Xenopus tropicalis: one gene and its partners. The main gene of each other region encodes a partner of the protein of the gene in region 4 in a complex. Links are inferred from orthologs where the notes say so. Each region holds a gene or a part of one and is shown on either strand. Other genes may lie near its edges.

Evidence for each region.
Region 1: cdk9 (region 4) and eaf2 share a complex: the UniProt entries of both Homo sapiens proteins name them as parts of the super elongation complex. The link is inferred for Xenopus tropicalis from reciprocal best matches to the Homo sapiens genes CDK9 and EAF2.
Region 2: the proteins of cdk9 (region 4) and ccnt1 are in contact, whole or in part, in a crystal structure (PDB 3BLH), measured with the Homo sapiens proteins. The link is inferred for Xenopus tropicalis from reciprocal best matches to the Homo sapiens genes CDK9 and CCNT1. Residues at the interface, in NP_001252.1 of Homo sapiens: Val8, Glu9, Cys10, Pro11, Phe12, Cys13, Lys56, Glu57, Gly58, Phe59, Ile61, Leu64, Ile67, Lys68, Gln71, Leu72, Leu81, Ile82, Glu83, Ile84, Arg86, Ile99; in NP_001231.2 of Homo sapiens: Arg5, Lys6, Arg11, Trp12, Arg26, Ile72, Gln73, Phe78, Phe89, Leu90, Lys93, Val94, Pro98, Lys99, Lys100, Leu101, Val134, Glu137, Ile139, Leu141, Gln142, Thr143, Gly145, Phe146, Glu147, Leu148, Thr149.
Region 3: cdk9 (region 4) and eaf1 share a complex: the UniProt entries of both Homo sapiens proteins name them as parts of the super elongation complex. The link is inferred for Xenopus tropicalis from reciprocal best matches to the Homo sapiens genes CDK9 and EAF1.

What each region holds. Positions count from the first base shown.
Region 1 is NC_030685.2:88,577,468-88,585,615, reverse strand, and holds the start of eaf2 (ELL-associated factor 2), read right to left. Parts: upstream 4,776-8,148; 5' UTR 4,667-4,775; coding exon 4,564-4,666; intron 999-4,563; coding exon 904-998; intron 821-903; coding exon 684-820; intron 119-683; coding exon 1-118. UniProt on the Homo sapiens protein: Acts as a transcriptional transactivator of TCEA1 elongation activity. Acts as a transcriptional transactivator of ELL and ELL2 elongation activities. Potent inducer of apoptosis in prostatic and non-prostatic cell lines.
Region 2 is NC_030678.2:135,678,521-135,686,167, forward strand, and holds part of ccnt1 (cyclin-T1), read right to left. Parts: intron 6,449-7,647; coding exon 6,378-6,448; intron 2,882-6,377; coding exon 1,748-2,881; 3' UTR 1-1,747. UniProt on the Homo sapiens protein: Regulatory subunit of the cyclin-dependent kinase pair (CDK9/cyclin-T1) complex, also called positive transcription elongation factor B (P-TEFb), which facilitates the transition from abortive to productive elongation by phosphorylating the CTD (C-terminal domain) of the large subunit of RNA polymerase II (RNA Pol II).
Region 3 is NC_030682.2:51,491,050-51,498,696, forward strand, and holds the end of eaf1 (ELL-associated factor 1), read right to left. Parts: intron 6,789-7,647; coding exon 6,622-6,788; intron 4,877-6,621; coding exon 4,646-4,876; coding exon of another isoform or gene 4,575-4,645; exon of another isoform or gene 4,070-4,574; intron 4,028-4,069; coding exon 3,981-4,027; 3' UTR 1,202-3,980; downstream 1-1,201. UniProt on the Homo sapiens protein: Acts as a transcriptional transactivator of ELL and ELL2 elongation activities.
Region 4 is NC_030684.2:24,557,000-24,564,394, forward strand, and holds the end of cdk9 (cyclin-dependent kinase 9), read right to left. Parts: intron 6,617-7,395; coding exon 6,535-6,616; intron 5,859-6,534; coding exon 5,768-5,858; intron 4,977-5,767; coding exon of another isoform or gene 4,959-4,976; coding exon 4,780-4,958; intron 4,698-4,779; coding exon 4,526-4,697; intron 3,916-4,525; coding exon 3,767-3,915; intron 3,455-3,766; coding exon 3,089-3,454; 3' UTR 2,773-3,088; downstream 1-2,772. UniProt on the Homo sapiens protein: Protein kinase involved in the regulation of transcription.

The DNA of each region.
Region 1 (8,148 bases), on a different chromosome or scaffold from region 4:
AGACATTTTCTCCATGGGCGAGGAAGAGTTTTTGGCGCTGTTGGGTGTTTTGCTGGCGTTGCGCATTTGCTGCTGTTGCTGCTCCAAGCGGGACTGGATCTTGCTGCTTCCTTCAGCCCTGAGAATAACAAAGTGCCATTATGTACTACCCCTGCAGGAGGGCAAATATTCCCTTTAAGTACAGTTCCTGCTGAATTGTGCTTAGTACAGGGGAATCCCTATGTGCCATAGTTTTATGGTATCTCTCTGTACAGGCTATGAGCAAACTTAGGGGGCTGTTCCTGCTGAATTGTGCTTAGTACAGGGGAATCCCTATGTGCCATAGTTTTATGGTATCTCTCTGTACAGGTTATGCGCAAACTAAGGGGGCTGTTCCTGCTGAATTGTGCTTAGTACAGGGGAATCCCTATGTGCCATAGTTTTATGGTATCTCTCTGTACAGGCTGTGAGCAAACTTAGGGGGCTGTTCCTGCTGAATTGTGCTTAGTACAGGGGAATCCCTATGTGCATTAGTTTTATGGTATCTCTCTGTACAGGCTGTGAGCAAACTTAGGGGGCTGTTCCTGCTGAATTGTGCTTAGTACAGGGGAATCCCTATGTGCATTAGTTTTATGGTATCTCTCTGTACAGGCTGTGAGCAAACTTAGGGGGCTGTTCCTGCTGAATCGGGCTTGTGTCAGTACCTGGTCTTTTTGACACTAATATTGCTGCTCAATTTCTCCAGCCGGCACTCCCCGGTGTCGTGATTCACAATCAGGATACATTCCCTTAGGTACGGCCTTTTGGAGCCTTTGAACACAGTGACTGGGGTGGTGGAACCCTGAAAGGACAAATATAAAGTTATTTAGTGCCACGGCTGGCAGGGAACTCTGGGAGTTGTAGTTTCCAGTTGGTCACACTCACCTCAATGTTGGGCAGAGTGATGGTCACCTGTTCCCCTTTCCCCGCCTCCAGGTTCCCCTCACAGGAAGTATCAATGGACGCCGGCTTGAAATCATCTGCAAAGAATGTAGTGAATATACAGTATAGAGAGGGGTGCGCAGTGCAGCCCCCCAAGAGTGGAAATGGCAATAATACTAAATACTGTGTGAGGAGAGCAGTTACACTGGGGCACAGGGGGCAAATCTCTCCCACCCCCAGGGGGCAATAATCTATATATAGTGGTATCCAAGCCGGGCAATAAAAGCTGCTAAAGTGGAAAAATTGGATTTATTCTGGAAAACAGACAATCCATTATCATGTTGCCCCATTAACCCCCAAGCACCACGTATCCTATAATAATATCTAGTCACGTGGCAGCAGAGCCAGTCTGTCAGGCGTCTGATCCACGGAGCATTCCTACCCACCCAAACACACCCACGGCCTCTGGTACTGTGTGAGCCGCCTCCAGAACCTACAGACTGTCTGACCCACATGTATAAATACAAATATACAGAGAAGGAATGTTCTGGGCACACAATAAGCTGTACCCCCATACTGTACTGTCTAAGGGAAACACTATGGCACCTCCCTCCCATATGTATAAATACAAATATACAGAGAGGGAATGTTCTGGGCACACAATAAGCTGTACCCCCATACTGTACTGTCTAAGGGAAACACTATGGCACCCCCTACCCATATGTATAAATACAAATATACAGAGAGGGAATGTTCTGGGCACACAATAAGCTGTACCCCCATACTGTACTGTCTAAGGGAAACACTATGGCTCCCCTACCCATATGTATAAATACAAATATACAGAGAAGGAATGTTCTGGGCACACAATAAGCTGTACCCCCATACTGTACTGTCTAAGGGAAACACTATGGCACCCCCTACCCATATGTATAAATACAAATATACAGAGAAGGAATGTTCTGGGCACACAATAAGCTGTACCCCCATACTGTACTGTCTAAGGGAAACACTATGGCACCCCCTACCCATATGTATAAATACAAATATACAGAGAAGGAATGTTCTGGGCACACAATAAGCTGTACCCCCATACTGTACTGTCTAAGGGAAACACTATGGCACCTCCTACCCATATGTATAAATACAAATATACAGAGAGGGAATGTTCTGGGCACACAATAAGCTGTACCCCCATACTGTCTAAGGGAAACACTATGGCACCCCCTACCCATATGTATAAATACAAATATACAGAGAGGGAATGTTCTGGGCACACAATAAGCTGTACCCCCATACTGTACTGTCTAAGGGAAACACTATGGCACCCCCTACCCATATGTATAAATACAAATATACAGGGAAGGAATGTTCTGGGCACACAATAAGCTGTACCCCCATACTGTACTGTCTAAGGGAAACACTATGGCACCCCCTACCCATATGTATAAATACAAATACACAGAGAAGGAATGTTCTGGGCACACAATAAGCTGTACCCCCATACTGTACTGTCTAAGGGAAACACTATGGCACCCCCTACCCATATGTATAAATACAAATATACAGAGAAGGAATGTTCTGGGCACACAATAAGCTGTACCCCCATACTGTACTGTCTAAGGGAAACACTATGGCACCCCCTACCCATATGTATAAATACAAATATACAGAGAAGGAATGCTCTGGGTGACTGATAGGACACAGGTAGGAAGGGAAGGAACAGCTGCTAGACGCGACTCCGCACACCTGACAGCAGAGCCACAGGACAAACCTCACAGCTCGGTGTCACGGCTCGAGCCCATATTTAGTAAATCCCCTCTCACTATGAATACGGCTATTTTGGGTAGCGCCAGGCTGCACACTCATTTCAATTTGGCGCCCCGGGCACCTCAAACCCACAGCTGTTTCCTTGGGGTCAACGAAGCGTTGAAAGCTCGAGGGCGGTGAAACCAGGGTTACAGGCAGCTACGTGCAGCCCAGGGGCCACTTCCCATCAGAAAAGCAGAGGGTGGGACACGGCCCTTGAATGACTCTGTTAGAGGATTGTGGGAGTTGTAGTTCATTATTAGATAGGGAAACAGGATAGGGAATGGCACTTATGGGGGCAGGGCAGGATACAAATAGGGTACAGGGGCATATGGCTCTGCCCACAAGTGAACAAGTTACTGCCCGGGGGCTGGAGTTGGGCACGGAACACTGATGGGGGGGGGGCATTGGTCTAGAGTTGGTGCCCCCCCAGGTTCCACCCTGTAACTGGGAACAAAAGGGGCCCATAGAGCCACACTAATAGGGATAACCCCAGCTGTCTCAGAGAGACAGACAAGAGACATGTGGGCACAGGGGCCACAGGGTAATACTAACAGGCAAGGAGAAAGGGGCCCCAGGGCCCAAGCTTAAAGTGTTATAGAGAAGGCACAGGGGCCACAGGGTAATACTAACAGGAAAGGGGCCCCGGGGCCCAAGCTTAAAGTGTTATAGAGAAGGCACAGGGGCCACAGGGTAATACTAACAGGAAAGGGGAAAGGGGCCCCGGGGCCCAAGCTTAGAGTGTTATAGAGAAGGCACAGGGGCCACAGGGTAATACTAACAGGAAAGGGGAAAGGGGCCCCGGGGCCCAAGCTTGAAGTGTTATAGAGAAGGCACAGGGGCCACAGGGTAATACTAACAGGCAAGGAGAAAGGGGCCCCAGGGCCCAAGCTTGAAGTGTTATAGAGAAGGCACAGGGGCCACAGGGTAATACTAACAGGAAAGGGGCCCCGGGGCCCAAGCTTAAAGTGTTATAGAGAAGGCACAGGGGCCACAGGGTAATACTAACAGGAAAGGGGAAAGGGGCCCCGGGGCCCAAGCTTAGAGTGTTATAGAGAAGGCACAGGGGCCACAGGGTAATACTAACAGGAAAGGGGAAAGGGGCCCCGGGGCCAAGCTTGAAGTGTATAGAGAAGGCACAGGGGCCACAGGGTAATACTAACAGGAAAGGGGAAAGGGGCCCCAGGGCCCAAGCTTGAAGTGTTATAGAGAAGGCACAGGGGCCACAGGGTAATACTAACAGGAAAGGGGCCCCAGGGCCCAAGCTTAGAGTGTTATAGAGAAGGCACAGGGGCCACAGGGTAATACTAACAGGAAAGGGGCCCCAGGGCCCAAGCTTAGAGTGTTATAGAGAAGGCACAGGGGCCACAGGGTAATACTAACAGGAAAGGGGCCCCAGGGCCCAAGCTTAGAGTGTTATAGAGAAGGCACAGGGGCCACAGGGTAATACTAACAGGAAAGGGGCCCCAGGGCCCAAGCTTAGAGTGTTATAGAGAAGGCACAGGGGCCACAGGGTAATACTAACAGGAAAGGGGCCCCAGGGCCCAAGCTTAGAGTGTTATAGAGAAGGCACAGGGGCCACAGGGTAATACTAACAGGAAAGGGGCCCCAGGGCCCAAGCTTACAGTGTTATAGAGAAGGCACAGGGGCCACAGGGTAATACTAACAGGAAAGGGGCCCCAGGGGCCACACTAAGAGGGTCAGAGAAGTGGCCCAAGGGCCCAGGAATAAAGGAAGAGAGAAGAGGATCCCAGGGGCCCTAGGGCCACAGTAAGAGTCAGACGAGAGACACTTTCCCAGGTATGAGGGAGAAGCAGGGGCCCCTCAGGGGACATTACTGACAGGGCCACTCACAGCGGATTGTGTGGTACCCGCTCCTGGGCTGCTTCTCGAAGCTCTCCCCCAGCACCAATGGCCTCTCCTTGGTATCAAACAGCGGGCAGGCAGCGCCATTCATCGTGCCGACCCCCGGGCACCTCCAACTCCCCAGCCTCTGCCCCGAACCAGCCTGGGGCTCCCAACTCAGCCTGCCAGCCGGGGGCGGAGCCAGCAACCGGAGCGCCTTCCTATTGGTTGTTGAGTGCTATACAGACGCTGATTGAGCGAACAGAGTTCAGATTAAGACTTTGCCCCTCCCCCCCGAGAGAGATACCGGCAATCAATGGTCAGTCCGCATGTAGGAAACTAAGTCCCGCCCACAAGTAATGACGCAGGAACTGAGTGGCGTCGGTGTACCCGGCAAGCATTGCGGTCCGGGCCTTGACTAGTGAGGAGCCTGATTGGAGTAGCGTAGGGTTGCTAGGCAACCCGCCCCGTTAGAGAGAAATGCTGAGCGAGCGGGCTGTGTGAGGCGCGGCACCGGAAGGTGATTCTTCATTGGGACTTTGTGTGTCTGTGGGAATGCGTCCCGTCCGGAAGCCTCGTAGTCTTAGACTTATCTACCTAGTTATATACCTACCTACCCACACTTACACACAGAGCTACCTACCTACTTATATACCTACCCACACACACACACACACACACACACACACACAGAGCTACCTACCTACCCACACACACACACAGAGCTACATACCTACCCACACACACAGGTACCTACACACACTGCCCCAGGCCCTGTATATTCTATTATAGATACTGACAAACTCATATGCCCCTCCCCATTCTCTGCACCTCAGTCTGGGCAGCCTATGGCCTCTCACTGCTGGGATTTGTAGTTCCACTAGAAGGGTCATAAGCCTCCTAAACCTCTATCAGAGCACAGACTCTTCCCTTTGGCCCCAAATCCTCTCCAGCACTGCCCCCCTCTCCGGCACTGCCCCCCCTCTCCGGCACTGCCCCCCCTCTCCGGCACTGCCCCCCCCTCTCCGGCACTGCCCCCCCCTCCGGCACTGCCCCCCCCCCTCTGGCACTGCCCCCCCCCTCTCCGGCACTGCCCCCCCCCTCTCCGGCACTGCCCCCCCCCTCTCCGGCACTGCCCCCCCCCTCTCCGGCACTGCCCCCCCCCCCTCTCCGGCACTGCCCCCCCCCTCTCCGGCAACTGCCCCCCCCTCTCCCAATCTCCATTCTGTTCCTGTCCCTTCTTTTGACTCCGACCCCTTGTCTGTTTCTACCTGCCCCCCATTCCCCTGTCTGTTTCTACCTGCCCCCCATTCCCCTGTCTGTTTCTACCTGCCCCCCATTCCCCTGTCTGTTTTCTACCTGCCCCCCATTCCCCTGTCTGTTTCTACCTGCCCCCCATTCCCCTGTCTGTTTCTACCTGCCCCCCATTCCCCTGTCTGTTTCTACCTGCCCCCCTTCCCTTGTCTGTTTCTACCTGCCCCCCCATTTCCCCTGTCTGTTTCTACCTGCCCCCATTCCCCCTGTCTGTTTCTACCTGCCCCCCATTCCCCTGTCTGTTTCTACCTGCCCCCCATTCCCTTGTCTGTTTCTACCTGCCCCCCATTCCCCTGTCTGTTTCTACCTGCCCCCCCATTCCCCTTGTCTGTTTCTACCTGCCCCCCATTCCCCTGTCTGTTTCTACTGCCCCCCCATTCCTGTCTGTTTCTACCTGCCCCCCATTCCCCTGTCTGTTTCTACCTGCCCCCATTCCCTGTCTGTTTCTACCTGCCCCCCATTCCCCTGTCTGTTTCTACCTGCCCCCCATTCCCTTGTTTTCTACCTGCCCCATTCCCTTGTCTGTTTCTACCTGCCCCCCATTCCCCTGTCTGTTTCTACCTGCCCCCCCCATTCCCCTGTCTGTTTCTACCTGCCCCCCATTCCCTTGTCTGTTTCTACCTGCCCCCCATTCCCTTGTCTGTTTCTACCTGCCCCCATTCCCCTGTCTGTTTCTACCTGCCCCCCATTCCCCTGTCTGTTTCTACCTGCCCCCCATTCCCTTGTCTGTTTCTACCTGCCCCCCCATTCCCCTGTCTGTTTCTACCTGCCCCCCATTCCCCATGTCTGTTTCTACCCTGCCCCCCATTCCCTGTCTGTTTCTACCTGCCCCCCATTCCCTTGTCTGTTTCTACTGCCCCCCATCCCCTGTTTCTACCTGCCCCCCCATTCCCCTGTCTGTTTCTACCTGCCCCCCATTCCCCTTGTCCTGCTTTTCTACCTGCCCCCCATTCCCCTGTCTGTTTCTACCTGCCCCCCATTCCCCTGTCTGTTTCTACCTGCCCCCCATTCCCTTGTCTGTTTCTACCTGCCCCCCATTCCCCTGTCTGTTCTACCTGCCCCATTCCCTTGTCTGTTTCTACCTGCCCCCATTCCCCTGTCTGTTTCTACCTGCCCCCCATTCCCTTGTCTGTTTCTACCTGCCCCCCATTCCCCTGTCTGTTTCTACCTGCCCCCCATTCCCCTGGTCTGTTTCTACCTGCCCCCCATTCCCCTGTCTGTTTCTACCTGCCCCCCATTCCCCTGTCTGTTTCTACCTGCCCCCCATTCCCCTGTCTGTTTCTACCTGCCCCCCATTCCCTGTCTGTTTCTACCTGCCCCCCCATTCCCCTGTCTGTTTCTACCTGCCCCCCCATTCCCTTGTCTGTTTCTACCTGCCCCCCATTCCCTGTCTGTTTCTACCTGCCCCCCATTCCCTTGTCTGTTTCTACCTTGCCCCCCATTCCCTTGGTCTGTTTCTACTGCCCCCCATTCCTTTGTCTTTTCTACATCCTTTTGGCCCCCATTCCCTGTCTGTTTTCTAACCTGCCCCCCATTCCCCTGTCTGTTTCTACCTGCCCCCCCATTCCCCTGTCTGTTTTCTACCTGCCCCCCATTCCCTTGTCTGTTTCTACCTGCCCCCTTCCCGTCTGTTTCTACCTGCCCCCCATCCCCTGTCTGTTTCTACCTGCCCCCCCATTCCCCTGTCTGTTTCTACCTGCCCCCCATTCCCTTGTCTGTTTCTACCTGCCCCCATTCCCCTGTCTGTTTCTACCTGCCCCCCATTCCCTGTCTGTTTCTACCTGCCCCCATTCCCCTGTCTGTTTCTACCTGCCCCCCATTCCCCTGTCTGTTTCTACCTGCCCCCATTCCCCTGTCTGTTTCTACCTGCCCCCCATTCCCCTGTCTGTTTCTACCTGCCCCCATTCCCCTGTCTGTTTCTACCTGCCCCCCCATTCCCCTGTCTGTTTCTACCTGCCCCCCATTCCCCTGTCTGTTTCTACCTGCCCCCCATTCCCTGTCTGTTTCTACCTGCCCCCCATTCCCTGTCTGTTTCTACCTGCCCCCTTCCCCTGTCTGTTTCTACCTGCCCCCCTGTTTCTACCTGCCCCCCATTCCCCGTCTGTTTCTACCTGCCCCCCATTCCCTTGTCTGTTTCTACCTGCTGCCCCCATTCCCCTGTCTGTTTCTACCTGCCCCCCATTCCCTGTCTGTTTCTACCTGTCCCCTGTCTGTTTCTACCTGCCCCCCATTCCCTTGTCTGTTTCTACCTGCCCCCCATTCCCCTGTCTGTTTCTACCC
Region 2 (7,647 bases), on a different chromosome or scaffold from region 4:
TATGTGCTGTTTATGATCACAAAAATGTAAGAAATATTCCTCACTATTGCAGTAGTGTAAGCAGCCAATGTTAAATAATGTAACTTGAGAGTTGCTCTTACACTTTAGAAGACAATTAAACCAGAATGTACATATAGCCCAAACAGTAAGGCACATAGGTGAGTGTCTCTGAAAATGGCTTGTGAGCCGTTCTTGATTCCTACTATCAACAAGAATTGCCACTTCATAGGAAGTTACATGCACATATATCTGCTCTGCAGACTATAAACCCTTTGTAGACAGTCACACAAGCAAATGGTAACAGCCATTTGGTCATAACCATTTTTACCAGCAGGCAAGTGAATGCAGGTTAATGAATGCTACTCACCAGACTAGCAGTGACAAAATTCACCTATGAAACACTAAGCAAAGGAACAACATAAACTCTACATGTGCCCAGGGCATTAAAGGAGGAAATAATGTATTTGACTAACAATTTCCAGTGCTATTTCCCATTTAACATTGCTTTAAAAAAATTCTATAAAAAAACTGTGGTGTAAGTGGGCAATATATCGTAAGCATCTAAGTAATTGGGATAAAAAGCTTATTTAAAGGAGAAGGAAAGGTAATAACTAAGTAAGCTTTATCAGAAAGGTCTATGTAAATACAACCATAAGCAGGCAGCTCTCTCCTCTCTCCCTTCTCCTACTCCACCTCCCAAAAGAATTCACTCCCCTTCTCATGAGAATGTGAGATCTGTGAGCTACCAACTGCTAAAGCTGCAACACTTCCTGAGACTGGCAGCTGCTGTCTTAAGCAAACAGATGGAGATTCTAGGGCTGTTTACTCAGGTATGGTAAAGGTTTTTGCAGAATAAATATAGCTTTCTAGGTGGCACTGATGTGGCTAATCTATCGGCATTAAAATGCCTTTCCTTCTCCTTTAAATTGTGATTTAATCAAACAATTATACAAATGATTATCAAACTGACTGGCAAAGTAAGGCCTGGGCCAAGACTTTCTTTAGGAGAGCTCTATAGGTTCCTCTATGGTAGGATGTCTGTGGATGTCAGCTGACATACTTGCCATGGAATACTGCAGGCAGAGTTTTCTGAGAGGCTCTCATTTAGCTGCCTTTGAGTGCTAATATCCAGGGATGCCTACCAAACACAGCACAGTTACAGTTGGACACCCTGGCTGACCAACATACTTGGGTCAGCGACTACACTGCAACCTTGTTGCCCTAGCCTAAAATTAGCTATAAATAAGACTTCCACCAGAGGAAAAAACAAACAATCTCCATTCATAGATAAATGAGATGAAAGTTTGATACTGACAGTTAAAAGGAAGAATAAAGCATAATAAAAATAGTCAGATAACACTATAAATATAATGTACCTGTAACTTTCAGCTTGCAAAAAGCTTAGTATCAACACTTTTGTAACATTTCTCAATTGCTTTCTTATAGTACATTTTTAAAACTATGACCCGTTTGATAGAAATAACACCAACACAAACAAAATATAACATGACAGAGAAGTGAGTGATTGAAGTCCTAGAAAGTGACATCATTTCATTTAAGACATGCAAAAAATTAGGGAAACACAATAGGGTAAGACTGTTTAGGAAGGAACAAAACCACAAGGAATAGTTTGGTATAAAAAATGGAAGAGCAAAAGAAAGAGAGCGTGCTGGTTAGGATAGTTCAGACAATGCAGGGAAATTAATTCACCTTTCTAGACATTAAAACAATAGGTTTAAAACTTATATCACTTTGGCAGTGGCGGAAGAGGGGGGGGTGGCTCAGCAGGAAGTGGGGGAGCTCTGGAATCATCAGTGTTACCAGGCCGTGTCCTGCGAAAATCCCCAAATGGATTTAAATACTGAGGGGGCTGCATGGGTTGTACTCCCTGTGCACTAAGAAGTGAATGTAACATGTTCACTGTGTCCTGATAATCAATTACTTTATTGACGCTGTGACCATTGGTTCCCGAAGATTCCCTTTCTGGTTTACCTCTCACTCTGTTTAATGAGTGTGGAACAGCAGGTTCCTGTGTGGAAGCTTTGGAGGTCCTGCTGACTTTGTGAGAAGGGGGATCGTGTCCTGCGGTTTCCTCTGTGGTAGTACGTTTTCGGGAATTTGATGATGATTTGTGTGTCGAAAATACCGGGGGAGGTAAAGAACGTTTGCTGCTGTTATTTCCAGATGGATCTTGGTGGTGTTGACGATGTGACTGGTTATTGTGATGGTGATGTGAAGATGTACTACTTCTGTGCTTATCTCTACTCTTGCTGCTGTCCTCATTTGGCAACTTAATCCGTATTTTTCCCTCCTCCGATTTCTCCCGGTTAGTAACAGGGAGCCGAAGCTTGAGGCTGGAAGATTTCTCAGAGCGTTTGTGGCTTACTTCATGCAATGGAATCTTAAGGATAATAGGAGAGGCATGGGCCTCTTTTTCACGTTCTTTCTGCTGCTGTATTAACAGGTTCTGAGCAGCAGAAGCGTATTGCTCTTTTAGGCTGGCACCCAATTGCTCCAGCTGGCGTTTTTGTGCTGCCAATTCCTCTGCATGCTTTGCTCGGTACTCCTTCAGAGACATTTTAGCAAGTGCCACTGGTTTGGAACCGAGTGTTTGTGACTGTTCTGCAGATGTTATAAGCTCGCCAGTTCTATGCTGATCCCGCTGGCTCTGTAGCTGACACCCCCACTGCCCTTCCGACATTCCCCCATCATTTTTTGTAACCGAAAGTGGCTGAGATGATGAATCAGAAAGGGAATCAGTATTTAACATTCCACTATGAGAGAACATTCGAAGAATTGTCTCTTCAGAAAAGCTATTATCCTCAGACTCTTCTTGACATTCATCGTCTTTAGGTTTCCTGGTTTGGTTAGCCTGACTAATCTGCAAATACAAAAGTGCTATTTAACATCTCCTGCCATAAACTAAAAAACGGCTTAGTAAAAAATAAAAAAGCCAAATAAATTCAAATGTTAGATAATGCTCTTAATGCTTTCTTTAAGAAGAAACATGTTTTCAATATTAACAAACAAAAGAAAGAGGTGTATGTGTTTTTTTCAAAAGAAAAGAGGTTAGGGCTGTATTTATAAAGCAATGTAAAATCTTTTATGTTTAAGAACTGGAGTAACATTTGGAGGAAAAATAGTTGGCATGTTTAAAAATCTTTGTCATAGCTCTGAAAGGAGAAGGAAAGGTAGTGACTTTAATCGCTTACATTTTACCCTGGGCTGGTGTTCCTGTTAGGAGAAAACCGCATCAGCCCGGAGTACCTGCAGTTTGTTTAAGTTCGGCTTTTCACTCTACTGCGCAAGTGCGCAAAAACAGAAGGACGAGGAAACACTCGCTCATAGGTACCCCGGGCTGGTGCGGAGGTCTTCTCACAGGAGCACCAGCCTGGGGTAAAAGGAAAGCGATTAAAGGAACAGTAACACTAAAAAATTAAAGAGCTTTAAAGTAATAAATATATAATGCACTGTTGCCCTGCACTGGTAAAACTGGTGTGTTTGCTACAGTAACACTACTATAATTTATATAATAAGCTGCTGTGTAGCCACGGGGGCAGCCATTCAAGCTGGAAAAAAGGAGAAAAGGCACAGGTTACACAGCAGATAACAGATAAGTTCTGTAGAATACAATAGTGTTTTATCTGTTATCTGCTATGTGCCTGTGCCTTTTCTCCTTTGAATGGCTGCCTCCATGGCTACATAGCAGCTTATTTATATAAATTATAGTAGACTTTTTGAAGTATACGCACAACTTTTACCAGTGCAGGGCAGCCGCACATTATATTTTAGTTACTTTTATACACTTTCATTTTTTGGTGTTACTGTTCCTTTAAGTCACTGGGGGTGCCTAACATTCTGGCACCTTCCAGTGACTTAGCCTTTCCTTCTCCTTTAAAGATGAATTTACTCTGGAAATCTTTACTGCATTTCTACTGCTTCTGGTGCTGTCCTGTGCTTCCCAGTTGACCTCAGGGCACTATTTCATGTGCCTTTCAGCTAGAATACTGGATAACTCATAATCATCAAATCATATTTATAAAACGTCATCCCAGACCTGGTGTAACTCATTGAAGTCAATGGGATAAACTCGGCAAAATAATTTTGCACATCTGGCATATGCCAGTTTTAACTACAGAACCCCTTTATAGTGTATTATGAAATGTATGGGTCATTTAATGCAACTGGATAATAAAGAGATCAAAAGTATAAAGGAGACTCATTGTGACATATTACCATACTGAAAAAGTTTTCATGATTTACATCTTAGTCAATTGATGATTTGGAACAGAATAGCAAGCTTTTTGGCCATATTATAGATCAGTTTTGCCTTTGACCTGGGTGGTCCCATCAAGTCAAGGTCTGCTCATTTAGCAATCTCATCTATTGAACAGACCCATGTGGGCAGTTTAATTCAACCTACTGCTGATCTAGTAGGTTTTGTAGTATGGGTCCTCGTATTCACTAGTCTGAAAACAATTAGATGGAACCTTACTATTATCATATAAAACAGAGGTCTGTAGAATGTCTAAAGGAGAGGAGAGTCTGAATAGGATGAAAACCCGGTCAACCTGACATTACATAGTTACATAGTTACATAGAGTTGAAAAAAGACCAGTGTCCATCAAGTTCAACCCATCCAAGTAAACCCAGCACACTTAACCCACACCTACCAATCTATACACTCACATACATACACTATAAATACAACCACTAGTACTAACTGTAGATATTAGTATCACAATAGCCTTGGATATTCTGATTGATCAAGAACTCATCCAGGCCCCTCTTAAAGGCATTAACAGAATCTGCCATTACTACATCACTAGGAAGGGCATTCCATAACCTCACTGCCCTCACCGTGAAAAACCACCTACGCTGCTTCAAATGGAAGCTCCTTTCCTCTAATCTAAAGGGGTGACCTCTGGTGCGTTGATTGTTTTTATGGGAAAAAAGAACATCCCCCAACTGCCTATAATCCCCTCTAATGTACTTGTACAGAGTAATCATGTCCCCTCGCAAGTGCCTCTTTTCCAGAGAAAACAACCCCAACCTTGACAGTCTCACCTCATAGTTAAAATCTTCCATCCCCTTAACCAGTTTAGTTGCACGTCTCTGCACTCTCTCCAGCTCATTAATATCCTTCTTAAGGACTGGAGCCCAAAACTGCACTGCATACTCAAGGTGAGGCCTTACCAGGGACCTATAAAGGGGCAAAATTATGTTCTCATCCCTTGAGTCAATGCCCTTTTTTATACAAGACAGCACTTTATTTGCTTTAGTAGCCACAGAATGACACTGCCTGGCATTAGACAACTTGTTATCAACAAAAACCCCTAGATCCTTCTCCATTAAGGAAACCCCCAACACACTACCATTCAGTAGATAGTTCGCATTTATATTATTTCTACCAAAGTGCATAACTTTGCACTTATCAACATTGAACCTCATTTTCCAGTTTGCTGCCCAGTTATCTAATTTTGTCAAATCGCTCTGCAAAGCAGCAGCATCCTGCATGGAACTTATAGTTTTGCACAATTTAGTGTCATCAGCAAAAATAGAAACAGTACTGTCTATGCCCACCTCCAGGTCATTAATAAACAAGTTAAAAAGCAAAGGCCCAAGGACTGACCCCTGCGGTACTCCACTAACCACACTGGTCCAATTAGAAAATGTTCCATTTACCACCACTCTTTGTACTCTATCCTTCAGCCAGTTCTCTATCCAATTACAAATATTATGTTCTAGGCCAATATTCCTTAATTTGATCATTAACCTTCTGTGAGGTACTGTATCAAACGCTTTAGCAAAGTCCAAGTAGATGACATCAACTGCCATTCCAGCATCGAGGTTCCTGCTCACCTCCTCATAAAAGGCGACTAAATTAGTCTGGCAAGATCTGTTACGCATAAAACCATGCTGGCACAAACTAATAGTATTGTGAACTGCAATGTATTCAAGTACCCTATCCCTTATTACCCCTTCCAAAAGTTTTCCTACTACTGATGTCAGACTAACAGGCCTATAGTTTTCAGGCTGAGAACGGGATCCCTTTTTAAATAACGGCACCACATTAGCAATCCGCCAGTCTCTTGGCACCATGCCAAACCTCAATTGGACAAGTGCACAAAAAGGATGCTCAGAGAGGAAGTATTAGAGGAGATTGTGATGTAAGAGGGCATGGTTTCTGCACAGGGCCCTTTTTATGGCAAATGTCGTCTACCCTTAAACAATATCCGTGGACTGAATTTAAAGGAGAAGGAAAGGTAAAAACTAAGTAAGCTTTATCAAAAAGGTCTAACGGTCTACCCTTTAAGGGTTTAATAGTGTATTGGTTTGACACACTTGTGATTGGAGAACTGTCCCAAAAAACTTACCCTCCAATTTCTGATTCGTTTCAGGCGATTAGGAGTTTTCTCTAAGATCTGAAGAAATTCATGAGTTAATTCTGCAATAATCAAGCAGAAATTGGGTATCAAAAGCATATACAGAAAAAGTAATAAGACCGCAAAACCATCTGCTGCAGGTAATACACTTATTTAAGGAAATGGTTAATTGAATATGGGCAAAGTGTAAAAACTGTAAGTAGGCTTAGAAATGCAACCCTACATCTTGTACATAGCGATCTCCTCTTAAATTTTAACCTTCCTAAGGTATGGCGATTTCAGGGTGAAGTCAGAGCAAACTTATCATCCATTATCTACAAAATCTTGTAGTTTCATCTACATTACTGTTTTATCTTTTTTGTAGCAGAAGCCGAAGATTCTAGAATCAACAAATTTTTATGACTTACTGTAAGAAATGGGGAGATTAATACTTATTTTGTCTCCATTGCTTACGTCAATTTATTATATAAAATGGAAAACAAAGACGCTGTATGCAGAGAATTAATGTCACAAATAACAACTGTAGATAACCCTGACTACAAGGTTGACCTCTGCCAAAGACCTATAACTGAACTAATCCATGACTAAATACTGTTTATCTATGCTGAACTATATTAAGCTTCACAATCACACCAGGCATTCTGAAAATTCTCATGACAACTCTATGAGACATATTTATAAAGAGTACATCATCACCCAGAATGCCATCTAAACAGTAGCATCACCACATAAAAGCCAACCCTATTCTGTATTGATTTTTGGCAACTGTGAAGTCCAGCGTGCCATTCTGGTACAAAAAGCAGCAGCTGCTTTAAATATGCTGTTTGAAAAATGGTGTTTGGTTTTCCATTCCTGCATTACACATCTTATGTCAGAATTTTTGCCACAGGCTAAAATGGGTTAAAGCTAAGATTCGGCTGGTGGAAGCCAACTGTGATGCACAGCATATAATCACACATAAGATATACACTGCTTTATAAATAAGCTATTAGTTTATGTGTAAATAACTTTACAAGGGTTTATAAATAGGCCCCTGTTTAATTTATCTCTCTAGAGAGAAAAAAAAGTATATAGACAGTAATTCATCCATAACTCGGTCATGATCACTTTCAAAGTACAGGTATGGGACCTATTATCCAGAATGCTGGGGTTTTCCAGATAAGGGATCTTTCCATAATTTTTTATCTCCATAACTTAAGTTTATTCAATATTTAAATGATTTTTAGCAGACTTAATAGGCTTGTATTGCCTCCAATAAGGA
Region 3 (7,647 bases), on a different chromosome or scaffold from region 4:
ATATATGGCAAATATATACACACGCATAATTGTTCAGAGCTCTCTTACAAGTATTTTTTTTATTTCCCTTTTCTGCCATATTGTTTCAAAGGTATTAAGTGGTTTCTGAACTAATATAATGAATTTTGTAACATCAGCACCACCTGCTGATAAATTTTCTGACTGCACAGTCGGGAAGAACATGTTCAGAAGGAAAACAAAGAACTGTTCTGATGTTGCTCTGCTCAGGAAAGAGATAAGAAACCTTAGATAACCTCTCTTTATTTGTTCCTGAGCAATTTTGCATGAAATTGGTTTATATTCACTTTAAGACCCTATTTATTGAACTAAAGCAGAAAAAGAAGATATACTGCCTGTTAAGGTTGAAAACATGGGGGGGGGGAATACAAAGGGGCACATTTACTAACCCACGAATGGGCCGAATGCGTCCGATTGCGTTTTTTTCGTAATGATCGGTAATTTTGTGATTTTTTCGTATTTTTTGCGATTTTTTCGGCGTCTTTACGATTTTTGCGTGGGCTGGGACTGATGTAGATGTGTGTCATTATACTCTACCCAGGCTAATCAATCAGATTTTTCACATGATTGTGAACATTACACTTGATAAAGGGTATTGACTCGAAACATGTTGTGTTACCACTACCCACAATAAATGGTTTGCAGTAAATCTGCTGAAGCTTTTTTCTCCTACTTTTTGGATTTTTAAAAGTATACAGATACTCTGCCATGGAAAGCCATTTGTTGGCAGCCTCCCCGAACAAAAAAATCCTCTAGGCTGTATTTAAACAAATCCAAAAAAGCAGGTTCCACATCAGGAACCTATAAAAATTAAACAAGATCAATACTTTATTAAATCTATGTTTTCAGGTTCTTGCGGTGCAGGCATCCTCAAACTATGCGGCCCGCGGCCCAAATACGCCCCCCTCCAAGGTAATTTACCTGGCCCCCACTATGATCTGACGCGAGGATGCAGTGGGGAACCGGAGGGAGCAGGAGGACGCAGCGGGGAGCGGGCCATAGTATGAGGACACAGGGGGGAGGAATTTATTCCGCCCCCCCCAACAGTCTGAGGGACCATGAACTGGCCTACTGCTTAAAAAGTTTGGAGGACCCCTGAATTAAACTTTATGTTTAGAGCAGGGTAGCGACATAGAAAATGTGAACTAGAATACTGTCTCAATAAACAATGAAAAGGCAAATACAAAATGCACTATTACTTTATTTTGAAGATAAAATATATATACAAAAGCCTTACATAAAATAAAATATAAATGTTCATGTAAGAATGTAAAATTTTAGCCAATAATTAAATGTATTATTATTATTACCAAAATACATGAAGGCATATAATCTTATGCCAAACTCACAAATAAAATGTAAGCTTCTTAAAACCAGCATAAATAATGAAATTAGTATAACTTCAGTACAGAGATACACACACACATGTTGGGACACGAGTTAAGCTACAAGTTGGCCAAGACATCAGTGGGAAATTGCCTTCAGTTTGCAACATTTTCTAATCATACTTCTTTGCCAAAAGGGAATGCAGTTCCAATTATATAAGGCAAAGTGTTGCAATAAAAAAAAAGGTTCTAGCCACAAACTCATGTGGGTACTCTGGTAGACAGATTTGAGACTGGATCACAGAAAGTCTACCAAAACAGAAAATGAAAAAAAGGACTGTCCTTGTTATAGCTCATCAGCTGATTTATTTCATATGAGATCCCATAATTTAACATGTGGGCCTACAGACTAGATCATCCCAAAAGACCCTTATCACTAGCATGGGATAAAACATAGCTTAAAAATAATATATCATGGTGGGGAAAAAAAAAAAAGAGGAACAAGGAAATAAAACAGAGGAAAGGATAAAAGGAATGGGTAACGTTATTGCATCATATTTTACACTGCAGAGATTGTTAATGATTCACATCACTCCCTGCCCAAGCAGAAGCTTACACTCTGATTTAACTATTTACATTCACTCAATAAACACAGACAAACTAACCTGCCTGTGTCAGTGATGTAATTACTGGAATGCGGGAAAAAAACAGAGGTAAAGCATACAGACAGGGAAGGACATACAGACTTACTGGCAGATGGCACCTTGGTTTGAAATTAACTCATAAAAATGATGGTATGTGTGAAATGAGTGAAACAAAAAGAAGGAAATGCAAGACCCTAATATCAGAGTCAATTATGCACAAATTAAAATGTTGTATGGAAAACAATTGGCCTAGCGCAAATGCTCACCTTTAACCCAGCAGTGTGAACCAGGAACAAGGCACATTGGCATGGGAGCCCTGTACTTTACACTTCTCATTGCCCAGGCTTTAAGTACAGGGTTACTGTTGTGCATTGCACACCCTAAATAGCATGCAATTAAGGGGTGCCTGCCTGCATGTTGCCCCAAATATACGGAGCACAACTTCTGCATCATCAGCACGTTTTACACCTCTGCCACTAAGCGTATACCTAGGGACACGCATACAATTTTGCACAATTATGCTGAGAAACTGCATTGGGAAAAACATGGTGAACTACACCATAAAGAGCACTTTACATTGCGAACATGTATAATTCACAACAGTTCCTGCACCAGTGGAGCTTACAATCTAAGTCCTTATTACATTCATACATACTAGGTACATTATCGAGAGCTAATTTACATCCCTGTATCTTTTTGGATGTAAATATGTGTGCATACATAAGAGAAGCACAATAATTGCTGTAATCTAAATCTATGCAATTTATCTGCTAGGTAACCAGTGATCCTTCAAATGAACTACAGTTCTATACTTCACAGCTAAACTCCATTTAGAAGTCCTGGGAGCTGTAGTTCCACATTTGTAGGTCTGCCTTGTTATCGTTCTGTAGCTGAAGGTGATAGTTGACTGTACTAATGCCAGTCAGTGATTACTGTGTGCCTTTGTGCTGGTACATGACATGGACAGATCAGAGTACACTCTCAGCTGCCATTTTTCATCACTATTTCTGATGCTTACAGCATGCTATGAGAATGTAACTGCAGGCTATGTCTATTCACTAATATTAATAAATTATTGGGAGAAAAACCAGCATGAGGTCTACTTATATCTCTGATGGCTAGAAGTCACTGGAGGTCATTTATAAAATTTGTGCAGCACATTTTTATTTTTGCAAATGGTTGTTTTGTGCATGTTTTTCCCTAAATGCTAAAATTTTGCACTGCTGTGCCTGGCTTTTTTTTTTTTTTGCGAATTGCAGTTAAATGCGTTGTGTGCACAAACATTCACAAATGAGATTGTGGCTTGTATGAGCATGTCCTTTTTTGTGTTTATTGAGCTCAAATATAGCTCCGATTTTAACTTTAGGAATACAAATTCGCAATTTGTGAAATCAGTTTAGCAAATATTTCTTCCGCTACCAAAGTTGTGGCGTAACTTGGAAGCAGAGTGTGCACATAAATACTCAATTTGCAAATATGCCATATTTAAAAAGCTTTTAAAAGGACATTTGCACTGTGAATAAAAATTTGCAATTATGTTTGCACATTAAATGCACCTGCCTTGTCCAGCTTTATAAATATAAATATGGGTGTGGCAAAAATGTTCACTGTGCGAATAATTCTGTGCTGCGCAAACTTCATAAATGACCCCAATGGGTAATGGCACACATACCACACTGATGCCAGTACCAAAGTGCCAATACTAATCTCAGATTACTTACTACTGCAAATAAGTAACAATTAAACCCTTTGGAGATCTAAGTTTGCAGGTAACAGCTATACATATATGTCCTGCATTATGAGAAAATTTGAAAAAGGAGCAAATAATCTCTCACTCTCCAGTCCATGAACTGCATCTCCAAGCATCCTAGTAACACCCTATCCAAACTTCACAGCCGCTGTGTCATTTTAGCCCCTGGCTTGTTTGGTGCTTTTGTGCATTTATATACATACATAATATTACATGTATACATAATGAATGGAGATATGTCCTTTAGTCGTCACTGTCACTTCCCGATTCACTTAACTGAAGGTCATTTCCTGGAGAAGAAAAAAACAGGTATAAAAAGTCAGTTAATGCATTTTAATCTCTATTTTAGCAAATGATAACAATAAACAGATCAGAGAAAATTAGCTGTTACACTATTGTATTTTTTGCAAAGTAGTGTTCATAAATACATGCCAGGATGGCCTCAGGTTCATGATACAATGATAACATCATCAGAGTTAGTGAGGCAAAGCACTTTTCTGTTGGAGTAAAGCTCTAACCCAGAGCACAAGGCTTTGTTATAGGTCTTGCTTCTTGTATAGGTAACATTATCTTTGTCTTCTATTGCGGATACCTTGTAGCTACAATTAATAGTCAAACATTTGCTATGAGTACTTGTCCAGTATTCCATTTACCAGCATTAAAGGAGTTTTGCAACCCTCTGAAGCAGCATACTATGTGTATTTTCTTAGCACTTCTTTCACAGGAGAGGAAGAGTGCCCTTGGGACTGTTTAAAATGAGCAAAATGTCAATGATGAATGATTCTATTTAACTACAAAACCTTTATGATAGAAACATACATCTTTATGGTTGAAAGGTTATTTTGAAAAGGTTTTCCTGGAAACACAACCATATACAACATGAACTGAACTCAGCATGTAATACTCACTGAGTGTGTTCATTAGCTGATTTGTTCCTTGTGGCCTACTGCTGCCATTAGAAACAGGTATCCTGCTGTTATATTGTTGAGGTGGCAGCTGTTGAGATGGAGATTCTTGTGTCTCTTCTTCTCCAGCGCTGCTAGAGCTGTCATCGTCACTCCCAGAGGAGCTCCCAGATTCAGAAGAACTGCTGCCGCTGCTGCTCATCTGCTCTATAATCTCTACCTCTGCCCTCAGTTCTATGGGAAGATGCACAGGCTCATGTTCAGTACAGTTCATGCACCACATTTTCTCATAACCACTGCATGATTTTTAGAGCTGATTTTTAGAGCCTCTGGTTATGCCAGTGGCAGGGAAACTTTAACAAATGGGAAAAGATGAGCACCTAGAGAGAGGAGAAGGCTTCTGTTTGCTCTTTCATCTTCTATAGTATTACATGAGGAAATTGCCCATGTGGTATCCCATGTAGAGGTTGTTTGTGCTTGTTGGCAAGCACTGCATACGAACTATGGAGATCTATGGGCTGTCTTCAGCTTTGGGGTCAGGGAAGAAATTATAATAATAACAAAGTATAAACCACATTTGGAAAAGAATGTTGGATGTTCCATTTAATCAGATTACTCCTTACTACAAATGGATATACTAGCAGTAAGTCCTACAGTAGAACTCCAGTTTTACATTTTTCAGGGGACCACAAAAAATTGAGTTAAAATTCAAGAAAATGTAAAATCAGGGAAAAACATTATGCATTATATACTGGTGGGAGGGGCTGAGGGAGCCCACTAATGGGATCCAAAAATCTGTGTTACTCATAAGAACAATTTCCCAACCAGATGTCAAAAAGGCAATCTATAATTTTCTCTTTAAGGGTTAAAAATACCAGGGAAATCTCTACCACTTAATTAAAATGTAGAAGCTGCTCTGCTGGGTGGTGAAACTCTTTATAGATTACACAACAAGTTCAGGTGCTGTTCCCTAGATCCTGTATATCATGACCTGGACGAATGAAAACCTTATAGACATTAATGAGTGATTCTAGATAATCTCAGCTGTGTTCCTTGGCCATAAAGGAGACCAGAGCCACCATCAGAGGGACCAACAGGAATCACATAGGTCCCCAGTTGGTTGCAAAAGGGTTGGGGCTTCATATGGTATGGGCAGGAATCAGTAGGATCAGGGGTGGGATAAAGAGGGCCGGAGGCCCGGTTATTTTGGGGATATGGAACCCCATGGCCCATTACCACAACCCTAATAGGGATATGTATCTTATATAGTGTGATATTAACTTAAAGGTTAAGTAAACTTTACATTTTATTTTTGCAATTTATATAATTTATTTTTTCCAGTTTACAGCTATTTTAGGTATTCAACTCCCAATAAAAGGAATTTTGTAACCGTACAGTTTCTGTAACTGTACAGTCAAATAGACACACCTTCAAAAGGAAAACAGAAGTTTTTTTTCTCAGTTTACGTCACTTCCTAAATAGCTCTGAAACGAAAATGTAAATTGCAAAAGTGTTTAGAAACTTTTGTTTTAAGGTTTATTTACCCTTTAATGTTGCATTAGATTTTAATAATTCCAAAAGAAAATAAGAGTAAATGTTTTTCATAACTTCATTTTTTCCCTATAGCATTGTATTCCAGTATAACTGCTATGTTAAAAAATAGGTACACAAATGCCCCCTGATTCGGGAGTTCTGGCGAGAAGTCTTAATAAATATAAAACACAATCTATCTCTCCTCAATATCCTCTCCCCTAGTTTGTGCCTTCTGCATGCCTACTTAAAGTGAAGTATACAATCACAACAGATGTGTGGAAAAATATTTATCAAAGGGTGGTTTATTAAACATATTTATCATGGCATTAGAATGGATTTGGGTGAATCACAGTGTGCCTAAAATGTCTAAACTTTTTGTTTGAGAATATTGACAGGTATGTGTACAGGGACAAAGTAAAATTGACAAGACTAGTGGTTCCACTCACCTCTTTTAATGTCATCAAGCTGTGGTTCAGGAGAAGGATGATCTTTTAATGGAGATGTTTTAGGCCCAGCAGCTACTTTGGAAGGTGCCTTAAACTGAGATGTTGGTTGTGAAGCACGGGCAGACTGCTGTTCTATACGAGCTTGGATCTTACTGCTGCCCTCAGCTCTGAAAAGTAAAAGAAAGCATTTGTGTCCATTTTCCTACCAATAAGGATAGCATACATATCCTATTTTGTGACAATTATTTCTGTACAGGTATGGTATCTACTATCTGGAATATGTGGGACCTGGAGTTTTCCACATAATGAGTCTTTCTGTACTCTGGATCATCATACCTTATACAAAAAAAAACAAAAAAACACAACATTTAAACATTATATTAACCCGAGAGTCAGGCATGTTTGGCTCAACTAACTGCCCCTCCGGAGTGTTGTGGGTTGATGGCGGGCCCGACATTCTTCCAGCCCAGTCCTGTCCCAAACAGTTCAATGGACTCTTTTAACAGATCTTTTTCCCTTATCACTTACTTTGTCCCCTTTCTGCCTCCCCTGTTTTTTATAATTATTTATGCTTTTCAGCAAAAGCTTGTTTCATGTATGATTCTAATGCATGTCCAGTAGATGTACTATAAGGGGCATACAATGCATCCAATAGCCCCTGGCAAAGTTACACACACCAGAGCTGAGCAGGCCCTTACAATATTACAGGAAAACCTAATTTTCTGCTTGATAATTTGCAACAACCCCTAAGCTTAACTTGGTTCAGTATATAAACTATAGCCCTATTCCTTTTTAGGTTTTAGTTCTCCTTTAAGGAGTTAAAAATCCTGTGCACATTAGGGTAGGTATGGGATCAGTTAGCTGATCCAGAAGGCTCAAAATTCTGGATAAAAGGTCCCATACTTGTATAATGTAAAAAACTAGAATTCAGGGAAAACACTGAGTATAGCTTCTATTTATGAGGAATACAGTAGCCCCATATCTGTAAAACCCTATGTCCAAACATTCTGCAGAACAGATCCCATC
Region 4 (7,395 bases):
GACCCTTGTGTCAACAGACTCGGAATTTGAGGCAGGATCCAGAATTCCTTCCTGGCCATCTTCATCAGAAGAGAAAACCAAACTCTCCTTGGCCAAAAGGGGATTATTAAGATGGTCTTCATCTGCTCTTGCCTGATCTTCTAAATGACTCTGGGAATCATGGAGAATGGTGGGAAAATATACTGGGGAAAACCCTACCTGAATGGCATGGCATCTAGGAAATTCAGACAATTCCTGTCTGTTAGGGAACAAAATGTCTTTAACTTCTGGTTCTTCTGGTTGCCATAAAGTCTATAACTGGGAGTCCCCAGTGTCTCGTAATCTTTAGAAATATCTGTTGATCCAGAGACCACTCCCCTGGTCTGAATATAGTTCTGCTTAGATGATCTGCCAGAATGTTGTTCTTCCCCTTTATGTGTTCTTCCACTTGGATGTCCCAACATTACCTTAAATTAAACCTCTCTAAGACTGAATTGGTTCTCTTTCCCCCATCCAACGCCCACATTGTTCCTGAGGTATCTATACAGGTTAACAATTCTACCATCACCCTGTGATCCTGAAGCCACCAGTGCAGTGGCAACTACATGTACAATACAAACTATATTGATGTTTGGGGAAACTTTGTCACCCCAGCCTTTAGGCTAAGGACCGATGGAGTCAGTTAGTTGCCCGCAATAGATTGCTGTGACCGTGGGCGACTAACTGCTATGAAATGCCTTTCCACCGGCAAAAATATGACTCACCGGTGGAAAGGCTGAGGCATTGCTTCAGCTTTCTGAAGTTACACAAAGGTTCTCCTGCAGGCAAGGAGATGCCTGCAGTACCAGTGATCTATTGTGTGCTAATAACTCGCTATGTGGGTCTTAGCGTGATGACACATAAGAGCCTACTAGTAGCAGCTACTTTTTTACGGCACTAAACACCTGAAAATACCCTGCCATAGACAATACTGAGAATTGCCTCTGTTAAAACACACATAGAGACAATTATCAGTAAATAATCAGCAGAGTCTATTTTAGTAGCTGCCATAAGAAGCTGGTGCTAGTAGCTGCCTTTTGACCACCGATTGTCCCTGAGAATTCTGTTACAGCAGCACATGTACTATAAACGCATTCAGAAAAACCAACAGGATCTCTGTAATCCCATCTTTGCAGTTGTTAAACCACACAAGTAAGAATGTCTGACCAAGGTATGATTTCCACAGTATAACAAGATCAGCATTTGTGTGTTAATCTGCTGGAAATGTAAAAGGACCACCCCTTTAATAACATGCACGACAGCTCACGCATTTATGGGTATGATTAGACAGAATGAAATCAGTTAACTGCAAGCACATCTGTAGCTCAAAAGGTCCCACAGGCACTCTATGCATTCCGCTGCCTGGGAACACAGGAGTTAAGGGGGTTGTTAACCTTTAAGTTAACTTTTAGTATGTTACAAAATGGCCAGTTCTTAGCAGCTTTTCGATTGGTCTTCGTTGTTTATCATTTTTTAAATTGTTTTCCGCTTCTCTTTCCAGCTTTCAAATGGGGACGCTGACCCCAACTATTGCTCCTTGAGGCTACAATTGTAGTTGTTGTTACATTTTATTACTTATCTTTATATTCAGACCCACTCCTATTCATATTCCAGTCTCTCATTTGAACCACTGCCTGGTTGCTAGGGTAATGTGGACCCAAGCAAACCATATAGCTGCTAAAATTCCAAACTCGAGACTGAATATAATGCCAAATAATTCAAAAACCACACATAAAAAAATAAAGACCAATTGCAAATTGTCTCTGAATAGCATTCTGTACAACATACTAAGTTAATATAAAAGGTGAACAACCCCTGCACATTTTATATGCAGGTTGTACTTACAGGGCTGCTCTGAGCCACTAAATGCAGTTGAGTCTCACCTGCGTTTGATGGTTAACTGAACCCATTACTGGAATGCTTGTGTGTAAGGGCCCAAGCACATGAAAAACAGGCAACAGGCTCTTGAATTGTAGTGAGGGAGGGGGTAGAACACTAATCACAGATTGGTTGTTATGCCTTACAGCCCAGGTACTTATGTACGCGGGATAGTAAGGGAGGCTCATTTATCAACACTAGGTAAATTTGTACGTGGGCAGTATCCCATGTCAACCAATTGCATATTTGCTTTTCATTGTTTAATTTGTGATTGGTTTCTACTGGATATTGCACAGCGTTTTTAAATGTGCTCCAGTGTTTTGGGACAGAAGAACTGGGGTATAATAAATCTTAGCCCCCACTAGGAAAGGCCCAAAGCATTCTGGAATATCTAGTCGTCCAGTCAAATATATGTACAAACTGGCCTTATACACAAACATGGCAATTCTTATCAATGGATGACCCTGTTTCAACTGTAGCCCACTCAGTAACAATTGGATCACATGATTAGTTGATTGGCTGAATATCTGTAGAAGCAATTTATGGGCAGGGACTAGGCCACTTAGCAAACCAATGTATGTTTTATACATAAAATGGCCATCCCCCAAAATGTGGAAACAGGGTAGGCAGCATGTTATCACTCATCACTAGTCAGTGTCTGCCTGGAGAATCCGGGCCCATGATTTATTCAAACTTTACCTGTATTTCCCAATAAAACAGCATGGCCAGCATGTGCTGGCTGAAAAACACTGGTGGAGAACACAACCTATGTTCCATGGAAATAACAGATTATTTACAGCGCTGCGGAATATGTTGGTGCTTTATAAATAAATGTTAATAATAATTTAAAATGGCAAGAAAGAAAGCCATAAAATAATAGGAGAACATAAAACTTTATTTACATTCCCTATCAAGTACATAGGTACAGCAGCACAGAAAGCTGTTCGGAAAACTTTCGATTCACTGACCAGTGTGTATCAGCATGGTAGCAAGAGTTTTAGATTAAGTATCACAGTTAAAAGTTTTGTTTCACGAATGCCACGCTTCTGAATATCATTATGCTAACAAAAGTATGCAGCTAGTCCTTATTCCCCATACTATACAGGCTTACTTACAAAGGAATTAAAAAAAATATATATATATTTTTAAAAAAAGTCTTTTTTTTCCTCCCAATAAATAATAAAGAATGTCTTTAAAAGACTCTGTCAAATTCTGATTGGTTTGTGGCAGCAGGATTCCGTGCCTGATTGGCTGGCTGTTGGGGCATGTGCCCGCCTCTTCTCCTAGGAGGTGCCAAGTATTCAAACATGGACTGATTGTGAGTAGAGAGCATGTTCTTCAGATCAGAAGGCATCGGGTCAGACCAGAAGAAATCATGATTCAGGGCGTCATCACTGTCGATTCTCTGAGCCGGGTCCAAAACCAACAGCTTGTCTATAAGGTCCAGTGCATAGAGATCTTTCACATAAGCCTTTAACCTTTCCTTCACCTTTCTTTTCTGGCCTTTGGGCAGTTCCAGCTTCTGGTACAACTCATATTTGTCCACATTTGGCCAGACCTAAAATATATTAATAAAATAAACTATCCGGTTTAGGTGTTTAATTAGATTTACAGATATCTAAGGGTTCTGATCTCTTTCCTAAGCAGAGCAACATCAGAATACAACAGTTACAGGAACCAACCAGCAGGTGACAGCATTGTTAAAAAATTCATTATTGGCAGTTAAAAACTTTAAATACTTAAATAGCTCTGAAACTGAATAAAACATAATTAATGTAAATTGCTTTTTTTTAGTTTAGTTATCCCACGACCAATGAGACCACTTAGTCCTAGATATGATCCTGGACCAGAGCAATTCATTAAAACTCACCTCTGGTGTGATGGAACCGCATAATTGGCTGATGAGTGTTAGCTGATGCTGCTCCGTATTCCCCTGCATAATGGGGCTTCTGGTCCACATCTCAGCCATGATGCACCCTGCTCCCCACAAATCAATGGGAGGACCATAATCACGCTCTCCTACAAGCAGAAAATGGGAAAAATATTATCCACACTGTTTAAAGGGGTAGTTCATCTTTAAATTAACTTTTAATTTAATGCAGAGTGCTATTTTGAAACAATTTGCAAATTGACTTTTGTTTTTTCATTTGTGTTAGTTTTTTTTGTTCAGTTGCTCTTCAAGTTGGAATTTCAGCAGCTATTGGGTTGCTAGGACCCAATTTAACCTAGCAACCAGGCAAAGGTTTGAAAGAGACAGGAATATGAATAAAGGGGGTCCTAACTAGAAAGATAATAAAAAGTAACAACAATAATAAATTTGTTGCCTCAGAGAGCAATAGTTTTTTGGCTACTGGGGTCAGTGACCCCCATGTGAAAGCTGAGTCAGAAGGGGAAAGCAAAAACAATAAATAAAAAATGAAGACCTACTGAAAAGCTGCTATAAACATGCTAAAAGTTAAAGTCCCCTTTAAGATATACATTAGCTAACAGTATATCCTGCATCAGAGCTGGATCAATTGCAAAGACTATTATTATGGCTTCCATCAGACATGAATGTTATGACCCGACAGCTTCCCTTTTTGGGGGATTCAGACTTTATTAGTGCATATAACCACATGACCGTCCTTACCTAGGAGTAGCTCAGGGGGCCGATACCAGAGCGTAACCACGCGATTGGTGTACTTGTTTGGCTGGCTGTTCTTGGCAAGGCTGAATGCTCTGGCAAGCCCAAAGTCTGCAAGTTTCAACACTCCGTCCCTGGTGATCAGTACGTTTGCTGCCTTCATGTCTCTGTGCAGGATCTGTGGGCATGAGTCCATTAGACACAGGTCCTACAAGAACAGTAAATGCCCAGGATGGGAAGAGAATGGAGCACTTGCTCACCTTGTTCCGGTGAATGTAGTAGAGGCCGTTGAGCAGCATTTGCATTACCTTCTTGATCTCGGAGAGCGTGAACTTGACATGAGCATTGCTCAGCAAGCCTGCTAGATCATGCTCACAAAAGTCGAACACCAGGAAAATAGTTCCTTTGCATCTATTGTACTGGTTGGCTGTGGGAGAAACTAGGTGGGCAAGAGAGTCTAGAGCACGGCCCCACAAAAGCAGCATAAGCACAACAGTTGCACATTTACAAAGGGCAGACACCAAGCAGGACCAAATGTGTCCATCAGGGACCCTCATACCAAATGCAGGCACTGTGGCACAACTCTGGCTATGAGTTTATGCCTTAGCATTCTACATAGTTCCAAAAATAATTTGGTCTTGCTAGGTTCCACTTTTATACCCCACTCTCCCCTGCCAGGAACATATTTCTTTTAAAGGGCCATAGAGAGGTAACCAAATTTATTGAGCAAGAGTCTACCCCAAAACAATGCGATGCATATATATAGCAAAGCTCACTGCACTGCTATTTAGACTTATGGCAGCAGGGGTAGCAATAGAGTATGACTGATATACCAAAAGGGCGCAAAGTCAGCCCCTGACAAATAGAGTGATCTGCTTTAGCAAGGTTCCCTACACTCCCCTCCCAGTCAAATTGCTTATAAGCCAATACTGTCAAGTCCACTGGAAACCCTCCAACACCACCTAAACTGTGTTGAAGGACTGGGTCACTGGGTTTAAGGACTGGGTTGTTCTACACCTGGCAGAGGAGATGCTGCAGCTTCCATGCAATGTGTATGGCATTGGCTTGGTTTTCAATTGAAGCAGGATAAGAAAGACAGAGCCAGACAGAGATAGGGAGTCTAAGGGGCAGGACATTCACAACAACCATGCTGTGTGTGTCTTTGGCTGTAAAAGCCACCACCCAAGCTGCAACCCCCCAACACAGCACATGCAGCACAAAGTGAGAGAGACACAAAATGTTTCTTACTTTTTGTCCGACAGATCTCTATGAGGTTAACTACGTTCTCGTGTTTCAGCAGCTGCAGGATTTTTATCTCTCGCAGAGCCGTGATAGGAAACTGAGAAAAAGAACATGATTTCATTAGATAGATGTAGTTAGAGACACACATGTGCCATAATTAAATAATAAACTATATCCTTATAAATGGTGCTTAGTGATGCCATCAGCTATAATTGGCTTTTAGTGATGTTATACCCGTCACATTACTTGGGTATTATAATTAATGGACCTCCCTGTTGTAAAATATGAGAATATTAGACATTACCTTAGAGCAGGGATCCCCAACCTTTTATACCCATGAGCCACATTCAAATGGAAAAAGTGTTGGGGAGCAACACAAGCATGGAAAAAGGTCCTAGGGGTGCAAATAAGAGCTATAATTGGCTTTTTGGTAGCCCCTATGTGGACTGTGGCTTTACATTGGGTTTTTAAGCAACCAAAACTTGCCTCCAAGCCAGAAATTCAAAAATGAGCACCTACTTTGAGGCCACTGGGAGCAACATCCAAGGGGTTGGGGAGCAACATGTGGCTCATAAACAGCTGGTTGGGGATCACCGCCTTAGAGTTTCATGACCTGTATAAAATCACTGGGTCCTTTATATGGCCATGGAACTCCTCTGTGACTTAAAATATCCTTTTATTTTACTATGGGGGTGCATTATTCACTATAAAAATACTAAACAGAATGGTATAAAAGGGTCTTGTTACATGCAGACCACAGCATTAGTACCTACCCCTTCCTTCTCGTTTTCCATCAGAACTTTTTTAAGTGCCACTTTCTTCCCCGTCTGTCGATGTTTGGCCTTGAACACTTCCCTGTGGGTCCAACACATAGAAACAGATGAGTCAATGAGTTCCCAGCATAAAAAAAATAAATAAATGAACTTCCATGATTGGCAGCCATCCTTCCGATAGAAAGGAAAAGCCCTCAGTGACTGTATAATAGGGATTGTACCCTGCAGCTATACAACGACTTAGAACATTCATCTAGGGTACAGTAATAAAACTATACATACAGACTAGGAATAATGGCACATACAGCAAAATTATATTGATAGAAAAACTGTACAGGTATCGGACTCCTTATCCGGAAACCCATTATCCAGTAAGTTCCAAATTACGAAAAGGCCATCTGCCGTAGACTACATTTTAATCAAATAATAAACATTTTAAAATGATTTTCTTTTTCTCTCTAATAATAAAACAGTACCTTGTACTTGATCCCAAAGAAGATATAATTAATCCTTATTGGAGACAAAACAATCCTATTGTGTTTACTGTTTAAATCATTTAATTCGCAAATTACAGTTCTTTCCGTAATTTGGATCTACTACCTTAAGGGCTCTGGCACACGGGGAGATTAGTCGCCCGCGACAAATCTCCCTGTTCGCGGGCGGCTAATCTCCCCGAGTTGCCATCCCACCGGCGAACATGTAAGTCGCCGGTGTGATGGCACACGCGGTGGCACGATTTCTGCAAATCAACGAAAATGCCTCGTGAGGCAACTTCGGCGATTTGCTAAAATCGTCTGCGCAGCGTGTACCATCCCACCGGCGACTTACATGTGTGGGATGGTAGTTCGGGGAGATTTGTCG